3 linked regions of the Sus scrofa genome follow. The protein of the gene in region 1 interacts with the protein of each later gene in a biochemical or structural test. Links are inferred from orthologs where the notes say so. Each region holds a gene or a part of one and is shown in the gene's direction. Other genes may lie near its edges.

Evidence for each region.
Region 2: the proteins of SNAP25 (region 1) and STX3 form a complex in vitro, tested with the Homo sapiens proteins (2 studies listed by BioGRID). The link is inferred for Sus scrofa from reciprocal best matches to the Homo sapiens genes SNAP25 and STX3.
Region 3: the proteins of SNAP25 (region 1) and CPLX1 are reported together in a solved structure, tested with the Homo sapiens proteins (2 studies listed by BioGRID, with this or other methods). The link is inferred for Sus scrofa from reciprocal best matches to the Homo sapiens genes SNAP25 and CPLX1.

What each region holds. Positions count from the first base shown.
Region 1 is NC_010459.5:19,217,062-19,222,891, forward strand, and holds part of SNAP25 (synaptosomal-associated protein 25), read left to right. Parts: intron 1-2,362; coding exon 2,363-2,507; intron 2,508-5,830.
Region 2 is NC_010444.4:11,707,976-11,713,805, reverse strand, and holds part of STX3 (syntaxin-3), read left to right. Parts: intron 1-1,092; coding exon 1,093-1,192; intron 1,193-1,762; coding exon 1,763-1,837; intron 1,838-2,954; coding exon 2,955-3,022; intron 3,023-5,830. UniProt on the Homo sapiens protein: Potentially involved in docking of synaptic vesicles at presynaptic active zones. Apical receptor involved in membrane fusion of apical vesicles.
Region 3 is NC_010450.4:227,830-234,436, reverse strand, and holds the start of CPLX1 (complexin-1), read left to right. Parts: upstream 1-2,715; 5' UTR 2,716-2,836; intron 2,837-3,163; exon of another isoform or gene 3,164-3,320; intron 3,321-4,619; 5' UTR 4,620-4,694; coding exon 4,695-4,725; intron 4,726-6,607. UniProt on the Homo sapiens protein: Positively regulates a late step in exocytosis of various cytoplasmic vesicles, such as synaptic vesicles and other secretory vesicles.

The sequences.
Region 1 (5,830 bases):
AATAACAAGGAACGGTGAAGCACTTAGGAACTAGCAATAGCCAGGAAGGGTCCTAACTGGCCAGGAGCAATCTATCACCAGAAGCCAAGAGGAATTACATCTGTGGGCAGGGGCTATATGTTGAGATTCAGCAACTGTAGACCCAGCAGGAAACAAGAAAGGGAAATAAGTGCCCCAACCCCTCAGCCTCTTGCCCTCCGGTCCCTCAATGGCCATTGGCCAGAGGCCACAGAAAGTCAAAATAAGAGAACCTGGGTGATAGGGTTGTAGAGAGGTCAGCCTCTGAGCCAGAGAACAGATCAAGGGGTACACACAGAGAATAATGAGGAGACCTGACTTCTTAAGCAGGTCCTATGAGATCTGGAAACAAAAGCTAATTTAACCTCTATTTAAAAATCTCAAATCACACATCTGCTGATTTAAAACTCAGCTCCCAAGAGATCAGAAAATAATAATAATAACAAATAGTCCTGTTGCCAAAAAAAAAAAAGGGAAAAGTTATTCTTTTTTGCAGGTTACTACCCTAGGACTCAGCAGTAACTAGGGTAGCTGTTTGATCAACCATCTATATACCCAGATTCAAAAGATGAGTCACTGCTCTTTATGTATAAATGTCCAGATGTCTACCCAGAACTTCACAGATGACAATTCTATTCATGTTTCTGTCTGCTCCCAGGGAAACTAGACCAGGGGTCCTCAAACCTAACTGCATATTAGAATAACTGTGCAATTTTTTAAAAGTATCAGTGCCTGGGCTTAATCCAAACCCAGTGAATCAGAATCTCTAGAAATGAGACATGGATATCAGTAGTTTTAAAGCTGCTCAGGTAATTCTGAAATGCAAAGAGGGCTGAGGACCATGGAATTAGAAGTATGTCTCAGCTGCTGATGATCATTTAAATAAGCTTCTTTTTTTCTACATAAGAGATCTAGAAAGTTCCCTTTTAATTTTATCTGGATTTAAATGGTTTTAAAACCTTAGAGAAACAATCTGCATTGGGATTTACCATGGGGGAAGGATGTTAACCCTTCCAAACATATTTTAGCCCATCAGCATCTGTGGTAGAAAAATGTTTTTTGGTAGGGTTTTTTGTTGTTGTTGTTGTTTTTGCTTTTTAGGGCCGCACCCATGGCATATGGAGGTTCCCAGGCTAGGGGGCCAATTGGAGCTACAGCTGCTGACCTATGGCACAGGCACAGCAATGCAGAATCCAAGCCATGTCTATGACCTACACCACAGCTCACGGCAACACCAGATCCTTAACCTACTGAGCAAGGAACCCGAAAACTCGTGGTTCCTAGCCGGATTTTTTCCACTTCGACACGATGGGAACTCCTAAAAAGAGTTACTTCTTAACTTTCAAGCTGGACTATGAAAAAAATGAGAGCCAAGTCCTTCCTCCCCACTTAAACTGAAACAGTAATTTTCTGTCCCAGTCTTCTTCTTTGAGATCATCCATTCACAGTGCCACCAAAAATCCCATAGCATTGAAATCTGAGCAAATAAAACCACCTTGACAAAAAGCTCCCTTTGGAGTTCTTGGGAGCAAAAAGGATTAAGGGGCAGACTATAATTCACATTCCTCTTCCCTTTGATATTGGTCCCAAATGGAGAAGGAGATGGGTGGAGAAATTCTGTGACTTAGTTCAATAGCTTTCTCTTTCATTCTAAATTTGACCCTTGTAGATTTTGATTGACATCTCAGAAAGAAAAATACAGTTTCTAACTAGTTCCATCTTCATTCTCTGACCCAGAATCCTCCCAGCTAAAATGATTTTACCCTTAAAAAAAAAAAAATGAAAATTGGGATAAACATATGAAGGGAGGAAATGATGATGTGTTGGTGGAAGTTAGAAAAGTAGGTAAATTAATCTATTTAATATGCCTTCTTTAAAAGTAGAAATTTAGGAGTTTCCTTTGTGGCTCAGTGGTTAACGAACCCGACTAGGATCCATGAGGACGCAGGTTCAATCCCTGGCCTCACTCAATGAGTTAAGGATCCAGCGTTGCCATGGTCTGTGGTGTAGGTCGAAGATGTGGCTCAGATCCTGCGTTGCTGTGGCTGTGTGTAGGCCAGCAGCTGCAGCTCTGATTCGACCCCTGGCCTGGGAACCTCCATAGGCTGTGGGTGCAGCCCTAAGAAGCAAAAAAAATAAAAATAAAAAATAAAAGTAGAAATTTATCAATATGCAATTTTTAAAAGTACCTTGTAATGTACAAAAGCTAAAATGTGTTCCTGTGTTGAACGGAGATTCAGAAAGTATAGGGTTGATACCTAGAGGTCTATAGATTTACCCTCATCTTTGACTCCTTGGTATTTGAGTTTCTTTTATCTTCTAAAAACTGCTCTTTGATACCCAGGGTAACAAATGATGCCCGAGAAAATGAAATGGATGAAAACCTGGAGCAGGTGAGCGGCATCATTGGAAACCTCCGTCACATGGCCCTGGATATGGGCAATGAGATCGATACACAGAACCGCCAGATCGACAGGATCATGGAGAAGGTGGGTGCATGGCTGTCAGTATGTTTCCTTTGCTCATCACTTCCTCTGAAATAACCACTGAGGAAGGGTGAAGGGCATCACAAGACCCTCACGCCATGACTTTAGGTTTAGGCACTGAAAGATAATCCAAAAATTGTCTAATTTTCCAAGACAAAAATCCAGCAGCACAGAAGTAAATACCAGGGTAGAATTTAATCTAGCAGATAGTCCTCCAAGGGCATCTTTATTTTAGGCAACTGCTGGGCATATTAGGATGAGAGAAACAGCATCCTTACAGCCAAGAAACTTAGAACAGTGAATTTCCAGATGAAAATATAATTTGCCAAGAAAGCCACACATCCAGTGCTAAATGAGGTTAGATGAGGAAAGACTTCAGGGTTCAGTAGATGGGGAAATCTCCCCCAAAAAAGTCGAATTTGTATTGAGTCTCTAAGGATGGTTAGGAGCTTGTCAAATGGAGATGATGTAGGAATAGAGTCAGGAAATGGAAGTGCCAAAGCTTTAATGATAGTTCAAAAAGGCCCAGATTCCATTTCTAGGTCAGTGGTGCACATGTCCAGATCTCAAAGTGGAAACATAACCTGAGGAAGTTGAGTTCACAGGAGGACACCAGATGTCAATCTAAGATTGAGCCCCTCGTGTCAATAAGAGGCATTAAGGAAGAGTGGGGACAATATAATGGAAAAGGGTGGGTTCGGGGTCTTGAGATTAGGAGGGCCCAGAAGGAAACGCTGAAAAGCTTTGGTAAAAAGATATGGGCACCAAACCCTGATATTCTACACTATATGCATCTGATACAGCTTCTGTATCTTTGTATTCCACCCCCTCACCAATCAGTAGAGTCCTAAATATTGCTTGTAATCTCTTAAAATGTCCAAATGTTAACAAGGGAGAAATACACACATTGTAAGTTTAAAGGCAGTTGTGCATCTATAATCAATTCTACTCAGCTAATCATATATTGTGTGAGATTATTCCTTGGAAGGTGCTGATGTTTTGAGTCTGAAACCCTGAGTTTCTTTTCAACAATTTACTCCACTTTGGTAGGGGAAGAAGGGTGTTTTTTGAGATCTCTTGAATCACAAAGCTAAATACTCAATTTCTTGGTACCTAAGCATTCTCTGCTGACTTGAGAAAGGCATGAATAGACATAAAAGGAATGATTTGCCCTATTGTGTTCTATATACATTATATTAAAAACTATTTGATTGCATGATACTTTGCCTACTCAGTATTGAACTGCATAATAATGTCAGATGTCAGTGTTGGTTGACAAATATTTGTCCTCTGCTTACTTTCACAAGACCTGACATACTTATCATTGTTAAGAGCCTTTGAAATGCTAAAGCTTTGAAAGCTGTGCAAATCAATAGATTTTAGAACAATATTGAGAGTCTCAAAAAGCACTAGAGCCAACACAAATGGACCTAATGCATTATGGTCCAGAAAAATGAACTAAGAGGTAATTGCCAGCTTACCTTCCAACAGGAAAATGATTTCAAAAAAAAAAAAGAAAAGTAGTTATTTTCTATCAATGGGCCCAATTTACTCACAGATGTAGGAAGATAATGTATCTCAGACTCAATTAGAGTCCCAGAAAGAGAAGTTCTGCTAAGAAAGAGGGGTCAAACCTTTACTGATAGAGCTGGGCTTTAAGCAAGCGTAAGTCTTCCTGGAAAGGCAAGTGACATCTTAATTCTGCCACTTTGCATTTCCAGTTCTCTTCTTTAAGGAAAACCTTTCATTCTGGGGCTGATTTACTGCACAGGCAAAGACAGACGCAGCTCTAAGTTTTATAAGCTTTCAAAAAGTCAGGCAAGTGAATAGGAAAGAGCCTTTATGTCATCTTTGAATGTTGAGTTGCTTAAGTGGGGAAGGGGTCTAGTTACCTTCAAATAACTAGTGGGGTTTTTTTTCCCCTCATCAAAATGACAATCTAGATATGAGTTAGATAAAGTCCATTTCAACTCAACATTGCCCCAAATGAAACAGGTTACAGGAGTTACACAGTCATTGGTAGACTTCTACCTTCTTGTACAAGTTCTTTCTACTGTTAATAGGAAGTGCAAAGGCTTCCTGCATATCTAAGGTTAAAATCACATTGTAGGACTGAAGAGAATCTTCTGGTACTTCTCTCATGACCACAAAAATAGCTTCACCCAACTCTGTCAGTCACAATCCTTTCTCATCCCTTCAATTAACAGTCAAGTTTTGGGAGTCCAAAACAATGCAATTTTCCATACATTCCCATGGACTGTCAAGAAGTTACTTTGTCTATTTAAACACCTTGCTTTCTGGAGTTCCAGCTGGGCTCAGTGGAATCCAACCTGACTAGTATCTATGAATATGCAGGTTCGATTCCTGGCCCCACTCAGTGGGTTAAGGATCTGGTGTTGCCGTAATGTGTCGCAGACACGGCTCCAATCCGGCACTGCTGTGGCTGTGGCGTAGGCCGACAGCTGTAGCTCCAATTCGACCTCTAGCCTGGGAATTTCCGTATGCCACAGTTGTGGCCCTAAAAAGAAAAACAAAAAACCTTGCTTTCTGATTTAAAGTATTTTTATATATAATTTTCTAAGGTTAAAATGGTATGATTCTTTCAAAAAACTACTAAAATTAGGGCGAGTTTATATCAGATCTTCATGGGAACTGTTGCTAAGGAAACAACAGAGTGATGTTCAAACTTGGATTTAAAGTTGTCAGTGAAAAAAATAAATAAAGTTGTCAGTGGAAGATGCCATGCACATGTATACGATGAAATACGTTAAATGCTGAAGCTTTTAGCACTCCTCAAATTCTCCCATCAACAAGGAAATACGGCATTTGAAAACTGAGACCTTGACTTCCAGTAGGGCTTTCCAGGCTTCACAACATGGGTTCTCATCTGAAAGATGTTAGAGAACAGTTCAAATCTGCGATCAGAGCAGGATGCCAATATGAAGAAGTGTATTCATTTCTGGAAGTCTGTGCTGTGCCCTAAAAGCTACCTGCCATGGTCTGAAGTTGAGATTTCCAGAGTGTTCAGAAGGGTGGGCTAAACAGCTCCGTCTACCTCTCTTACTGACTTGTTTGTTGGAGGGCATCCTGGTTTTCTCAGAAGGGCAAATTGTGTAACATATTTTGAGCATACCAGCGAGTTTAGGAGTTTCTAAATAGAAATATGAAAACTGGAATGAGATGGATTGCATAAATAAAGTCCTAAAGCATATAAATAGAATAAACACAGACGTGTTCTCCAAATACTGGGAAGACATCTAAAAAAAGATTATCTCACAAAAAATTATCTCAGAATTTTTTTTCTAAAAGCACTTCTATTATATAAT
Region 2 (5,830 bases), on another chromosome or scaffold:
CTATGGTGCGTTCAAGCCAATTTATTTGTAGAAGGCGGAGTCCATGTCCCAGTGGCAAAAATACTTATTGGAGGGGTAGAGAACTCAAGTTTTACTTCTCGACTTTCTTTGCAATTGGGAGAGCCATGACTAGGTTTTTGAAAACAAGTGAATTATTCACTGGAAGAAAGAGCATCTTGAGTTGTATTTTCATTGCATCTTGGGTGTTAAGATCTTACTGTTTGGCGTTTTACCAGATTTCTGTTGTTGACTGTGGCAGCGCTGATGTGCTCCTCATTGTGGAAGTGTGGCAGGTGATATGGGGGGCGGTTCTGAGGTCCCTGGCATGGGCTGCCTCCTGCACTTGTGCCGTGACCACCTCAGCAGGGGCCGTGGGGCAGGGGCGCCCAGTGCCTTTTGAGAGGGAGCTGAGGCTGCACTTAACGCTCAGCAGAGTCCTGGATGGTGTGCTATCTGGGAGTGAGGTGCGGCTGGAAGTCCTTTCTGATGCACACTGTACAGTCAGGAACCTCAGGAATGGCAGAAATGGTCCATGGCTCCAGCCCCCTGGGTCCTGATCATCTGAGGCCGTCAGCCAGTGAGAGGTATTTGCCCAGAACTGGAGCTGGCCCGTCTCCCCAGATGGTCACTGCTTCCTCTCTCTTTCTCTTCCTCTGTTTTTCTCTTCCTCTTCCTCTCATTCTTCTTTCTCTGTTTCTCACCCTCTAGGTCTGTTCTCTCCCTTTCTTTTCTTTCCCTCTTTCCTTTTTACCTCTCTCCCATCCTCACTCTCTGACGTTCCCAGTTTTAGAGGAGCTGAGCATCAGCCTGAGAAGGTTTCATGACCCTTCCCTCTGGTTCCTCATGAGTCTTTCTGGCCGGAATCCTCTCAGTCAAGGTGAGCAGGTGTATTCCTCTCAGGGAGCGATGAGGACAGATCTTCAGTGACTGCTCTGACTACGGAGAGGGTCGTCACTGGGCTCACGGGTCCTCAGAAGACCTTTCTCGCCACCGTCTTCTTCCACAAACCCAGAAGGCGGGCAGAAAGTTCTGCTACCTTTCATTCCGGACATGATCATAGCTGTATTCTCCCTCTTGTCTTTCTAATTTTAGATTGAGGAAACTCGACTCAACATTGACAAGATCTCAGAGCATGTGGAGGAAGCTAAGAAACTCTACAGCATCATTCTCTCTGCGCCCATTCCAGAGCCAAGTGGGTGTTGACTCAGGGCTGAATCACCCGACCATGACCCTTGGCCACTGGGGCTGGGCCTCGGCCAGCAGGGGAGGGGATGTGTTACCTCACACTGATGTCTGGATCACGTCATCACCCACCCCCCCTCACCCACTTCTGACTCACACTGCCCTGACCGCCATCAGCGCTTCTCTTCATGGTTCCCCTCAACCTGTTTTGCCAAACCTCTGCTTCCCAACCCTCTGTCTCATGACTGGCAATGACTCTGCTGCTCAAATACCTCATCTCTGCCCCACCGCTGCTCTTGTGCCATTTCCTCCACCTGAAATGCCCCCCCACCCCCCCCCATTTTTCCATGAACTGTTTTTATTCTGTAAGTCTGAGTAGGGTGCCTGGAAAAAAAATGCCTGTTAAAAATAAGCCCTCTGTGATCCTAAGGAGGATGCCTGGGGAGCCCACCGGGATGTGCGCTGCTCTGGGTGGAGAGCGCTGAAAAAGCACCCCATCTCTTCCATTGATTGTTGTAGCTGACTAAGCAATCAGTCTTTTCTACCTGCCTGATTCCACCTGCCTTTTTTTTTTATCCAGAAACCAAGGATGACCTGGAGCAGCTCACGACTGAGATCAAGAAAAGGGCCAACAACGTCCGGAACAAACTGAAGAGTAAGAAGGCAGCAGGGGGTTCAGGCAGCTCCCCCCTCCCACCCCCATCCATCTCACGGCCTCTGGGTCCAACTCTTCTGGACCGAGACTCTTCCCGATGGGAGTGACACTCTTTGTGCCATCTTTGTTCGTGGTCTGGGCACTGTCCCTGGAATAGACCTATTCTAGTCCCAGAAATTCTGTCTGCTCTTGGGTCATGACTGTGGCTGGAGGAGTCCGGAGTGGAAGTTTGGAGGCGGGAATGAAAGTGTGCTTTCAGCTGCTGAATATTTGTGTGACTTGGTCCTTAAACTTAGTCCGTCAACTTTTTTCCTCCTGGTCCCGATTCTTCGGCACCTGCAGACACATGAATAGTGGTGTTGGTTATCTCTGGATGCCGGAGAGGTTGTTCAGTCTACAGATATTTCTTGGGGACCAGGTGTCTCACCCTCCATTTCCACCACCCCCACCCCTTGGCTTAGGGCATTCCTCGGTGAAGCCACTCTCATAGAGTTGGTTCCCCTGGGGCCCAGAAGTCATAAGTCATTTGCATTCTTGCCTCATTGTATTTGGTGACGAGTGCTTGCTGTTGGTCAGAGTATGAAAGTGGCATTGCTCAGCCTAAGTAATCAGTTCTCAGCCAAAGCAGACGGCGCTACCTGTTTTCACGGGGGTGGAGGTGGAGGTTGCTAGTGGCAGCTTCCATCTGTAGCACCGATCATGTGCCAAGCCCTCAGTGGGCATCCTTCTTTCATTTCCACATCAGAATCGCCAGAGAGGGGCACTGCTCTTTATTCCATCTTACAGATGAGAGAATGGGAACACAGGTTAAGTGGCTTTTCCAGAGGTAGACGGCTAGTAGGTGGCGGGGCAAGGATTTGAGCCCATGTCTCTTGATGACAGAGACAGAGTGGCTGACCCCTGAGCTGAGATGTAGCTGAGGAAGGCCTGTGCCTGGGAAAGGCGTGGAGTGTGCGTCCTGTGGCTCACGAGGGAGCTGGCCTTCCGAGACGGGGCCTGCCTGCTGTCACGTCTCCTGGCCCAGGTGTGAGAATGAGAGTCAGGGTTGCATTGTGCAGCGTGTGTCCTGGCAGAGAGCAGCAGATGCCTTGCTAGAACGTCCTTCTCTCCCACCCAGGCATGGAGAGGCATATCGAAGAAGACGAGGTCCGGTCGTCAGCAGACCTTCGGATTCGGAAATCCCAGGTGAGAGTTTCCCTGGTCTAACGATCATCTAGTCCGATCTTTTTTTTATTTATTTTTTTCCTAGCTTTTTAATCTATTTATTTTTATTTATAAAACTTTTTATTGAGGAGTTTCCGTTGTGGCGCAGTGGAAACGCATCTGACTAGTATCTATGAGGACGTAGGTTTGATCCCTGGCCTCGCTCAGTGGGTTAAGGATCCAGTGTTGCCAGGAGTTTTGGTGTAGGTTGCAGATGTGGCGCAGATCTCGCGTTGCTGTGGCTGTGGTGTAGGCCGGCAGCTGTAGCTCCATTTCAACTCCTAATCTAGGAACCTCCATATGCCACAAGTGTAGCCCTAAAAAGCAAAAAAAAAAAAAAAAAAAAAAAAAAAAATTTTTATTGAAGTATGGTTGATTTACAATATTGTGTTAGTTTCTGGTGCGTAGTAGCAAAGCGATTCAGTTTGTATATATGAATTAAGGAGGCTCTTCAGGGGAGTTCCTGTCGTGGCTCAGTGGTTAATGAATCCAACTAGGAACCATGAGGTTGCAGGTTCGATCCCTGGCCAGTGGGTTAAGGATTCCGTGTTGCCGTGAGCTGTGGTGTAGGTTGCAGATGCCGCTCGAATCGCGCGTAGCTGTGGCTCTGGTGTAGGCTGGCGGCTACAGCTCCGATTTGACCCCTAACCTTGAACCTCCATATGCCTCGGGAGTAGCCCAAGAATGGCAAAAAAGACCAAAAAAAAAAAAAAAAAAAAAAAAAAAAAGAAAGAGGCTTTTCAGACTTAATGGGGGGGGGGGCAGTTGAGTGTTTTATTTATTTATTTATTTTTTTGTCTTTTTGTCTTTTGTTGTTGTTGTTGTTGCTATTTCTTGGGCTGCCCCCGCGGCATATGGAGGTTCCCAGGCTAGGGGTTGAATCGGAGCTGTAGCCACCGGCCTACGCCAGAGCCACAGCAACGCAGGATCCGAGCCGCGTCTGCAACCTACACCACAGCTCACGGCAACGCCAGATCGTTAACCCACTGAGCAAGGGCAGGGACCGAACCCGCAACCTCATGGTTCCTAGTCGGATTCGTTAACCATTGCGCCACGACGGGAACTCCGAGTGTTTTAAATTAGTGGGGTAGGAGTTCTCATCATGGCTCAGAGAAACAGTATCCACAAGGACGCAGGTTTGATCCCTGGCCTCGCTCAGTGGGTTAAAGATCCAGCACTGCCATGAGCTGTGGTGTAGGTTGAAGACATGGCTTGGGTCTGGCCTTGCTGTGGTTGTGCTATAGGCTGGCAGCTATAGCTCCAATTCAGCCGCTAGCCTGGGAACCTCCATATGCTGCAAGTGTGACCCTAAAAATACCAAAAAAAAAAAAAGTAGTAAGGTGTGGTTAGTTGGGGTGAGTATCCTGGGAGATATGTATATATTTCTTTCTCAGATTCTTTTTCATTATGGGTTATTATAAGATATTGGATATAGTTCCCCTGCTGTACAGTAAATCCTTGTTGTTTATTTCATATACAGCAGTGTGTATCTGTTAATCCCAGACTCTTAATTTATTCCCCCCCCTTTCCCTTTGGTAATTATAAGTTTGTTTTCTATGTCTGTGAATCTGTTCATTTGTATTATTTTTTAGAATCCAACTATAAGTGATATCATATAATATTTGTCTTTGTCTGACTTACTTAGTATGATAATCTCTAGTTCCATCCTTGTTGTTGCAAATGGTATTATTTCATTTTCATTCCTTTTCATGGCTGAGTAGTGTTTCATGGTATGTATACGTACCACTTCTTCACCTGTTCATCTGTTATTTCCCTGTCTTGGTTATTATAAATAGCATTGCTCTGAACATAGGGATGCATGTATCCTTTTGAATTAGTTTTGTCCAGATAGATGCCCACGAATGAGATGGCTGGGTCATATGGTAGTTGTATATTTAGTTTTTAAAGGAACCTCCATACTGTTTTCCGTAGTGGCTGCATGAATTTACATTCCCACCATCATGTAGGGGGGTTCTCTTTTCTAGCAGTGGAGTCTTAAAAAAAAACAAAAAAACAAAACAGCTCTTGTTTGGAATTCAGTTTGAAGAGCTGGTAGAGGAGAGCTGCCCAGGTTGAAGTAGGGGACGGGGTCGAGTCTGGCCCTGGTGGCCCCTCTCACACTCTCCTCTAGGGAGGCCTCTGAGGCTCCCAGAGGCAGCTTAGGGTTGAGCGTGCCTCCCTGGTTTACAGCTGAGGAAACTAAAGTGTTCCTTCCGAAGATTGTTGGTCATCATTTGTCCTGTTTGGTGGTCATCAGACACATGATCCTTGTCCTTGAAGAAATGGCACGATGTTCAAGTGGCACAAGGAAACTTGACACAAGACCCCCAGGAAAGCCGTGTAGAAAGACATGCTGAAACGCACATGCCCTCAGCCTCAGATGAGCTCGGGGAGATCTGGGGTGCCCAGAGGCGGCTGGGCCATGGATGGGCAAGAGTGCCACTGTGGGAGTTCCCCTTGTGGCTCAGTGGGTTAAGAACCCAACATAGTGTGCATGAGGTTGTGGGTTTGATCTTTGGCCACAACAAAAAAGTAAAAAGAGTGCCACCATGTACAGGCCCAGGAAGAGATTCTCCTTAGAGGCATGGGGGCAAAAGTGGTGTGTGTGTGGGTGTGTGTGTGTGTATGTGTGTGTGTGTGTGTGTGTGTGTGTGTTGGAAGTGGTAGGGGTGGGGGGCAGACATGAAGAGAACAGTCTGACTAGAGTAAAAAGTTTGTCTTGGAATAGTGAATATTGAGTTTCAGTAGAGAACACAGCGCCATATTCCAAAGGCCTGTGACTACCGTCTA
Region 3 (6,607 bases), on another chromosome or scaffold:
CCTGCGGGGCCTGCGGCCCTCTTGCCAGGGCTGAAGGACAACCTGGAGGAACCCTGAGTGTCCTGGGGCACAGGAGCGGCTTCGGGAGACAGCAGGCACCAGGCCTCCCTGGAGGAAGTGGAGGGCCATCAGATGGGGGCTTGCCGCGGGGCTGGGGGAGGGGGCGGCTGGAGCAAGGCGGCAGCCTCCCCTCTCTGCCATCTGGAGTGACCCCATGGAGGCTACCGGGGGGGCCTCCGGGGGGGGTGGTCTCAGACCATGCGGCCTTGGCTTTAGCAAAACCCCGCCTTGGGTCAGGGGTTCCTGGCTGTCAGGGCCACTTTCTGGATTTTTCGCATACGCAGGGCACTGAGCTAGGGGCTCTGTCCCTGTCCTGCCAGCTGGCCCGGGCCCCGGAGTTTGGCTCTGGCCAAACACACGCGCCCCAAAACTGACTGCTTGGTTGGAACCCCTCCCCATCTCTCCAGCTCCGTGCACCCTCCTCCTGCCTGGCCTGGCCTCTGGCCACCCCCCGACGGCCCACAGGTGTGCCCCCACCACCATCCTGGGTCTCCAGCCCCGTGGATCCTGATGGGTGCCCTTGGCTGTTACAGATGTTTTCTGCTCAGCTCCTGCCTCGGGAGGACCCGTCCAGGACCCAGGCCCTCTTTGGGGCACTCACAGGGCCATGAGTGCCTCCTGGGATGTGGCCCTGAGGCTGGGTCGCCTCCGGAGCCCATGTGGCCATTGGGCCCATCCGTCCTCACCTTCTGCCCAGAGCCCCTGCCCCCACCCCCCGCCCCTAGTCCTGACTCCACAACTGCCTGGCCTCCCTGGCCTGGGACTGTGGCCAACCTTGTCTATTTCACATGGGAGCCCCCCACCTCCCCACCCCCCGCCCCAGCCCGGGGCCTGGATGTCTGAGGAGGGCAGCTGTGTGTGCAGTGGGTCTAAGAGGAGTAGCAACAGACCAAGACAGACAGAGATGGAGGGAGACAGAGGAAGAGCCAGAGAGACAGAAGGACAGAGACAGAGGAACAGACAGATACATGGATAGAGAGGGAAGGAGAGATACACAGAGACGGAGACAGAGCTGGCGACTTCAAACCTGACCTCTGAATGGTGACCCCAGAGGGAGGGAGAGGGAGGGAAGGAGAGACAGGGCTAGAAGGTCAGGCAGCAGGACCAGCAGAAGGGCCTCTGGCTTCTGGGCCCCAGGGGTGTGTGGAGTTCAGCCAGGCCTGGGCCACGGGATCGGCGGGGGGGGGGGGGGGGGTGGAACCTGTGCTCACGGACACCTGCACTCCCCTCTCCTGCCCATACGAAGCCCCACACCCAGCCTGGCAGCCCCAAGGTCAGTGGCGTGTCTCCCTGCCTTGAACGGGCCACTGGGGTCATTGGTCATGGGGCTGCCCTGGACTCAGCTGGGGTCACCTCAGGGGCCTCTGCGGGGTTACCATCAGGAGGTCAGCTGTGGGTCAGTCCTCAGGTCCACCTAGTGGCGGGGGGCCTCTAGTGGGGAAAGTGACGTGCCCCTTTCCTGGACCCACACTCTCCCTCTGGCATCCACACCCAAGTTCTCAGGACACCAAAGGCCCAGGCTGGGCAGAGCCTGTGGGCTCAGGCTGGACCCTCAAGACCCTCAGACACATGCAAACAGGCGGCCGCTCCCATCCGTCCTCAGACCTGCAGAAGCCCTGGGGCTTTGGCCCACCTCCCCCGAAGGGTGGGGATAGAGGTGCAATGGAGGCACTCCTCACACCCCTGGGTCAGCCAGGGTGTGTCCCAGGGCCCCAGCTTCTGAGCTGCCCCACCCACCCTCCTGGCACTTCCTCACCCCGATCTAGGTGACAGGAGCCATCAGCAGGAGGAATGGATAGAGTGCTGGGGAGGCTGCAGATGCAGAGTGCAGCGTGCCGCTGCCCCCCCGCACAAAGCAGTGCTGGCCTGTGCCGCCCTGCCTGCACCTGCTGGGCACAGCGGGCGGGGGTGGGAGCTGGGAGCCCAGGTGCCAAGCAGACGCGGGGCGGGGGGAGAGCACCCCCCCGGGAGCCCCCCCCCCCCCGCAGGCACGTCCTCCAGCGTTCAGGCTGTGAGTCCTGGGGAGGGGCCTGAGCAGGGGTCTCCTGGGGTTGGGGGTCTCCAGGAGCTGCCCCTGCCCCCACAGGCCCAGGAGCCCTGATGACTCAGCTGGGAGGGATGGGGAAAGCGCAGGGCCACCAGGGGTGTCCACCTGCTGACCAGGAGGCCAGCAGAGACCCCAGACCCCTGCCGAACCGTGGGCCCCTCCCACAACAGTCTTCCTACCCCGAGAGCAGCGGCGGGACCGGAGGCCCAGCCGCCGACCTTGCAGCGACCCCGCTCTCCCCGCAGCGCAGCTTCCGCCGCAGAGGAAATCCCGGAGGCCCGGGGAGGGGGCGGCCCCGCGGGGGCGGGGCTGCGGGGACAGCGAGCGCCACAGCCAGTCCGCAGTGACCTTGGCGCGTCCCCGCCTCGCTTGGGGCCCTGGGCGGAGGGGCGGAGGGGGCGGAGGAGGCGGGGGTCTCTCGGACCCTGTCCCACTGAAATGAAACGGCGGGGCTCTTTCGTTGCGACTCTGTTACACAGAAAAATAGGTCCGGGCCGGTGTGCAGACTGCTCCTCGCTAACGGTTGTGTGGGTTTTCAGGGCCTGGGGGCTCCCTTCTCCTGCCCAGCGGTGCCGGAGGCCCTAGAGCGGCGCGGGTCCGGGACCCCGACAGCGACCGCCGTCGCCGCCGTCGCCAGGGAACTCCTTCGCGAGCGCGCGGGGGCAGAAAGGGAGACCGCGGGAAACGGCGCCCCCGACCCGCGGCCGGACTGGAAAGGACTTTTCCCAGGGGAGTCGCGCGCGTACCCGTCCGCCCGCTGGGTGCCCCTCACGGGCGGAGGCGTTGGGTGTGCGGGGCCCTGTCCGCGGGGGGAGGGCAGCCCCCGGGACCCACGCGCAAGGGGATCGGATGGCGCGGGCTGGGGGTCGTATCCGGGATTCCGAACTAATGGGTGGGCCGGGGTCGTGCGCGCCGGCTCGGAGAGACAGCGCCCCAAGACCCGCGAATCCGGCCAGGGAGCCGGGTTTGGGAGCGGGGGTGGGGGGCGGCTCCGCCCCCCGCCCCGCGGGCGCCCGCCCCGCGCCGCTGCCCCGCCCTCCTCGTCACGCTCGGACGCGGGCGGGGGGCGGGGAGCGCCTCCATGTGACGCGCCCTCCTCGCGGTGCCCTTCAGCTGCCGCCGCAGTTCCCGGCGCGCCACATGGAACCGGCCGGCCCGAGCGCGCTCTGCCGCTGACCGCCCGCCAGCCCGCCCGCGCTGCGGCCCCGGGAAGGTAACCGGCGTCCCCGCGCGCAGCCCCCTCCCCGGCCCTGCGGCCCCCTCCGCGGCCCAGGCTGGGCGCGCACTGAGCCCCTGGCGGGCGCTGTCCGCAGACGCGGTGCTGAAGCGGCTCCAGGGTCCCGGCCCTCCTTCCTGCTCCTTGGCCCGCATCTCCTGCCGCTCGAATCTCCCCTTCCCCTCGCTCGTCCTCTCTCTCTCTCTCTCTCTCTCTCTCTCTCTCTCTCTCTCTTTTCCCTATGTTCTGGCGCGCTCCCGCCTGAGGGCTGCTTGGCTGAGCTGGGCAGCTCGATCTCCTGCAAAGCCAAGGGGTACGGCGGCCGCGGGAGCTCCGAACCGCGCGGGGCGGCGGTGGGAGGGCTGCGGAAGCTCCAGCGGCACCTGGTCTCTCTGTGTCTGGGCCTGAGGCTTCCTCTTCCCCCCCTAGTCCTCCACCCCACCCCGCCACCAGAAGCCAGGGGAGAAGTTTGGAAGAGAATCTGTGTTGCGGCAAGGGCGCCCCTGCGCGCGAGCGCTTTGCGAACAGGCAGGGGCACTCCCGCCCCCTGCCCCCTCCGCAGCCCGCACACTCGCGGATCTCCTTCGTCTGAAGGGGAAAAAAACGCAAATAGCGCATCTCCAGGGACCTGGGTTTCCCTGCCAGGAGCGACCTCACAAGGGGGGAGGGGACACACCGCAGCTGCAGGTTTTATAGGAAGCACCTCCCACCAGACCTCCAGCTGGCCTGGACCCTGGAGAGCCCCATCCACGCAAGTGCATGTGGAGGGATGGACTGCCCCCCCCCCATTTTATTTGTTTCCTGAAGGCTGGGCCCCCTGCAGTTTCTCCTTTCCACCTCAGTCTCTGCTGTGGGCTGGTGGCCTTGGGTGCCGGCCTCTCCCCTGGATGGTACCTGGTCTCCGAAGACTCTTTCCTTGGGAACCAAAGGGAGCGCCCACTCAGGTCTCAACCTTTAGATGGACCCAGGGTTCCACCAAGGAGGCAGCAGAGCCAGTCACCTCCAAACGCCCCTGGGCCTGCCCCACTTGGCGCAGGCTGGTTCCTCTGAGCTGCACCCCCCTCCCTGCATTCGCAGCCAGAAGCTGGCATCAGAAACCCCAAGGCCAGGGGAGACTATTTTGCAGGGGCCTCGGGTGCCCGTCCCAGTGCTGTGGTCTGGCCTTGAGGTGTGGGGGAACCATGAATGATGCTCTCTCAGACCCCAGACCCATGCCCAGGGAAGCCGGGCAGGTGCGAGGAAGAAGTCCTCCCCCGCCCTGTCGGAGGATGACTTGTGCCCACGTCCTCTCCCCAGGCAGAGGACTTCTGGCCACACTCGAATGTGAGCTACGGCCCTCCAAGGAGCCACTGAGGACTCAAAGCCATCGCCATGGAGTTCGTGATGAAACAGGCCCTGGGAGGTAGGAGGGGCCGCTGCATCCCCAGCAGCAGGCGGACACGCGGGGTTGAGCACAAATGTCACATGACACCCAAAGCACACTGCAGGCCCCTCCGGACAGAGTGGGGGAGGCAGGGACCAAAGGCAGCCCCTCCCGAAGCACCTTGGCCAGCTTTGGGGCGGGGGGTATGCACACCTAGTACCAGGATGTGCAGAGCTGAAGCACCTCCACCCCGCCTTGGGAGGACACCCCACGGTAGGTTGAGGGGAACGGGGGCCAGTCTGGCCAGAGCCGGTGGCCCCCACAAGGACATTGCTTCTGGTGAGCAGAGCTGCAAGAGGCTGCAGGGTGGCTACGGCCACTGGAGTGCGGGTAAGGAGCAGAGATGGGCTGGTGGCATCCAGCAAGGGCTTCATGGTGTCACCGGGGTGGGGCCAGCAGTGTGTACAGGGAGCCGGGGCTGGCTGAGCTCAGGGACAAGAGAAGAGGCCCCGGGTAACTCGTGTGCCCTCCCCCATGGAGCAGTGCAGCCTCTTGTGTGTGCTGGGGGAAGGGAGCCCTTCCGGCCCTGCCGACTGCTTTTGAAAGGAATCCTGTACCTGCTTGGCTGGAGGCCATCTCCACGGCCAGAGACCCTGGCCTGGTGGGGAGGTGGTAAACGCAGTGGGCCGGGACCCAGGCCCAGGAGGTGGGCAGGGCAGCGGGCCGAGGTCCACACTGGTACAGATGCAACCCAGGCCTGACTCTGCGGTTAGAGATGTCTTCTTTGGGTGATGGCACCAGCCTTGGACCTCACGTGGTCTCTGTGGGCCACGCCCTGACCCAGTGCCTTTCACAGCCTGGCATGAGCCAGGTGAAGCATGACAAGGCCACTCCTTGGCAGGAGGGACTGAGCGCTCCTCACCAGAGACGGGGTGCCGTGGGCGCTGTCACGCTAGGCGCAAGGGGCAGGGTCGAGGGCCAGTGGCACAGAGCCCAGACAGGGGCCCCGCGTGTGGCTTCTCTTGGAAAGTGGCGGCATTTCCACTCAACATGAATTAACCGAAGAGACTGAGCCTGGCCCAGGGCCACCCTTCCTGAGATTTTGTGGTCAAGGATAGGCTGCAGGTTGAGTCTAATTATAATGATGACGTCACTGGGACGTGATTCAGGGACGGGCCGCATCCTGGCAGCAGGAGGGATCCGAGTTCCACCCAGCCAGTCCCAGGCTGTTACAGATAATTAATTAGGTGGCTAATTCAGGCCTGAGGTGGGCTTGTAGGAAAACTGAAATATCTGATTTGGCTGTCTACATGGCTGGAATTAGCAGGGTAATTGCCAGCCTGGATTCCCTTTGTTCTGTGTCAGCCCAAAGTTTCTCCTTCGATGGCGATGGGGAGGGCTTCACCAGCCACTTGGGAGCCTGGGCGTGGAGGGGTGCAGCCAGCCAGGCACCTCCAGGCAGCCCCTCCCTGGTGCCCCGGGCCCAGCGTGCCCCCTGCCCGCACCCCGTCCTCACCCCAGTGCTGCTGGGGGCGGGGGCTGCTCCGCGTGAGACTGAGTTTTCTCTCCCCCAGCGGGCGTCATTTTGGTGTCTCGGGATGAGTGTGGGTGAGAGGCAGACAGACGGAGACCGGGAGACGGTGCCGAGAGAGACAGAGCAGAGCCGCAGACACAGAGGCAGGACAGACCCGGGACGCTGTCCAGAGACAGGCGGGCCCAGGGGAGACACAGCCAGACACAGACCAAGAAGGGGAAGGCAGTGCCGTGGACCCTGGACGCAGAGATGTGGAGAAACAGGCCTGGAGGGGGACAGACGCAGGATGGGACAGCGGGGGCCAGGCAGCCTGGAGTCAGGCGGGGCAGGCAGCGGGGCGCGAGGCTCAGAGCAGAACTGCAGGAGGAATACACCACGGAGGAGACA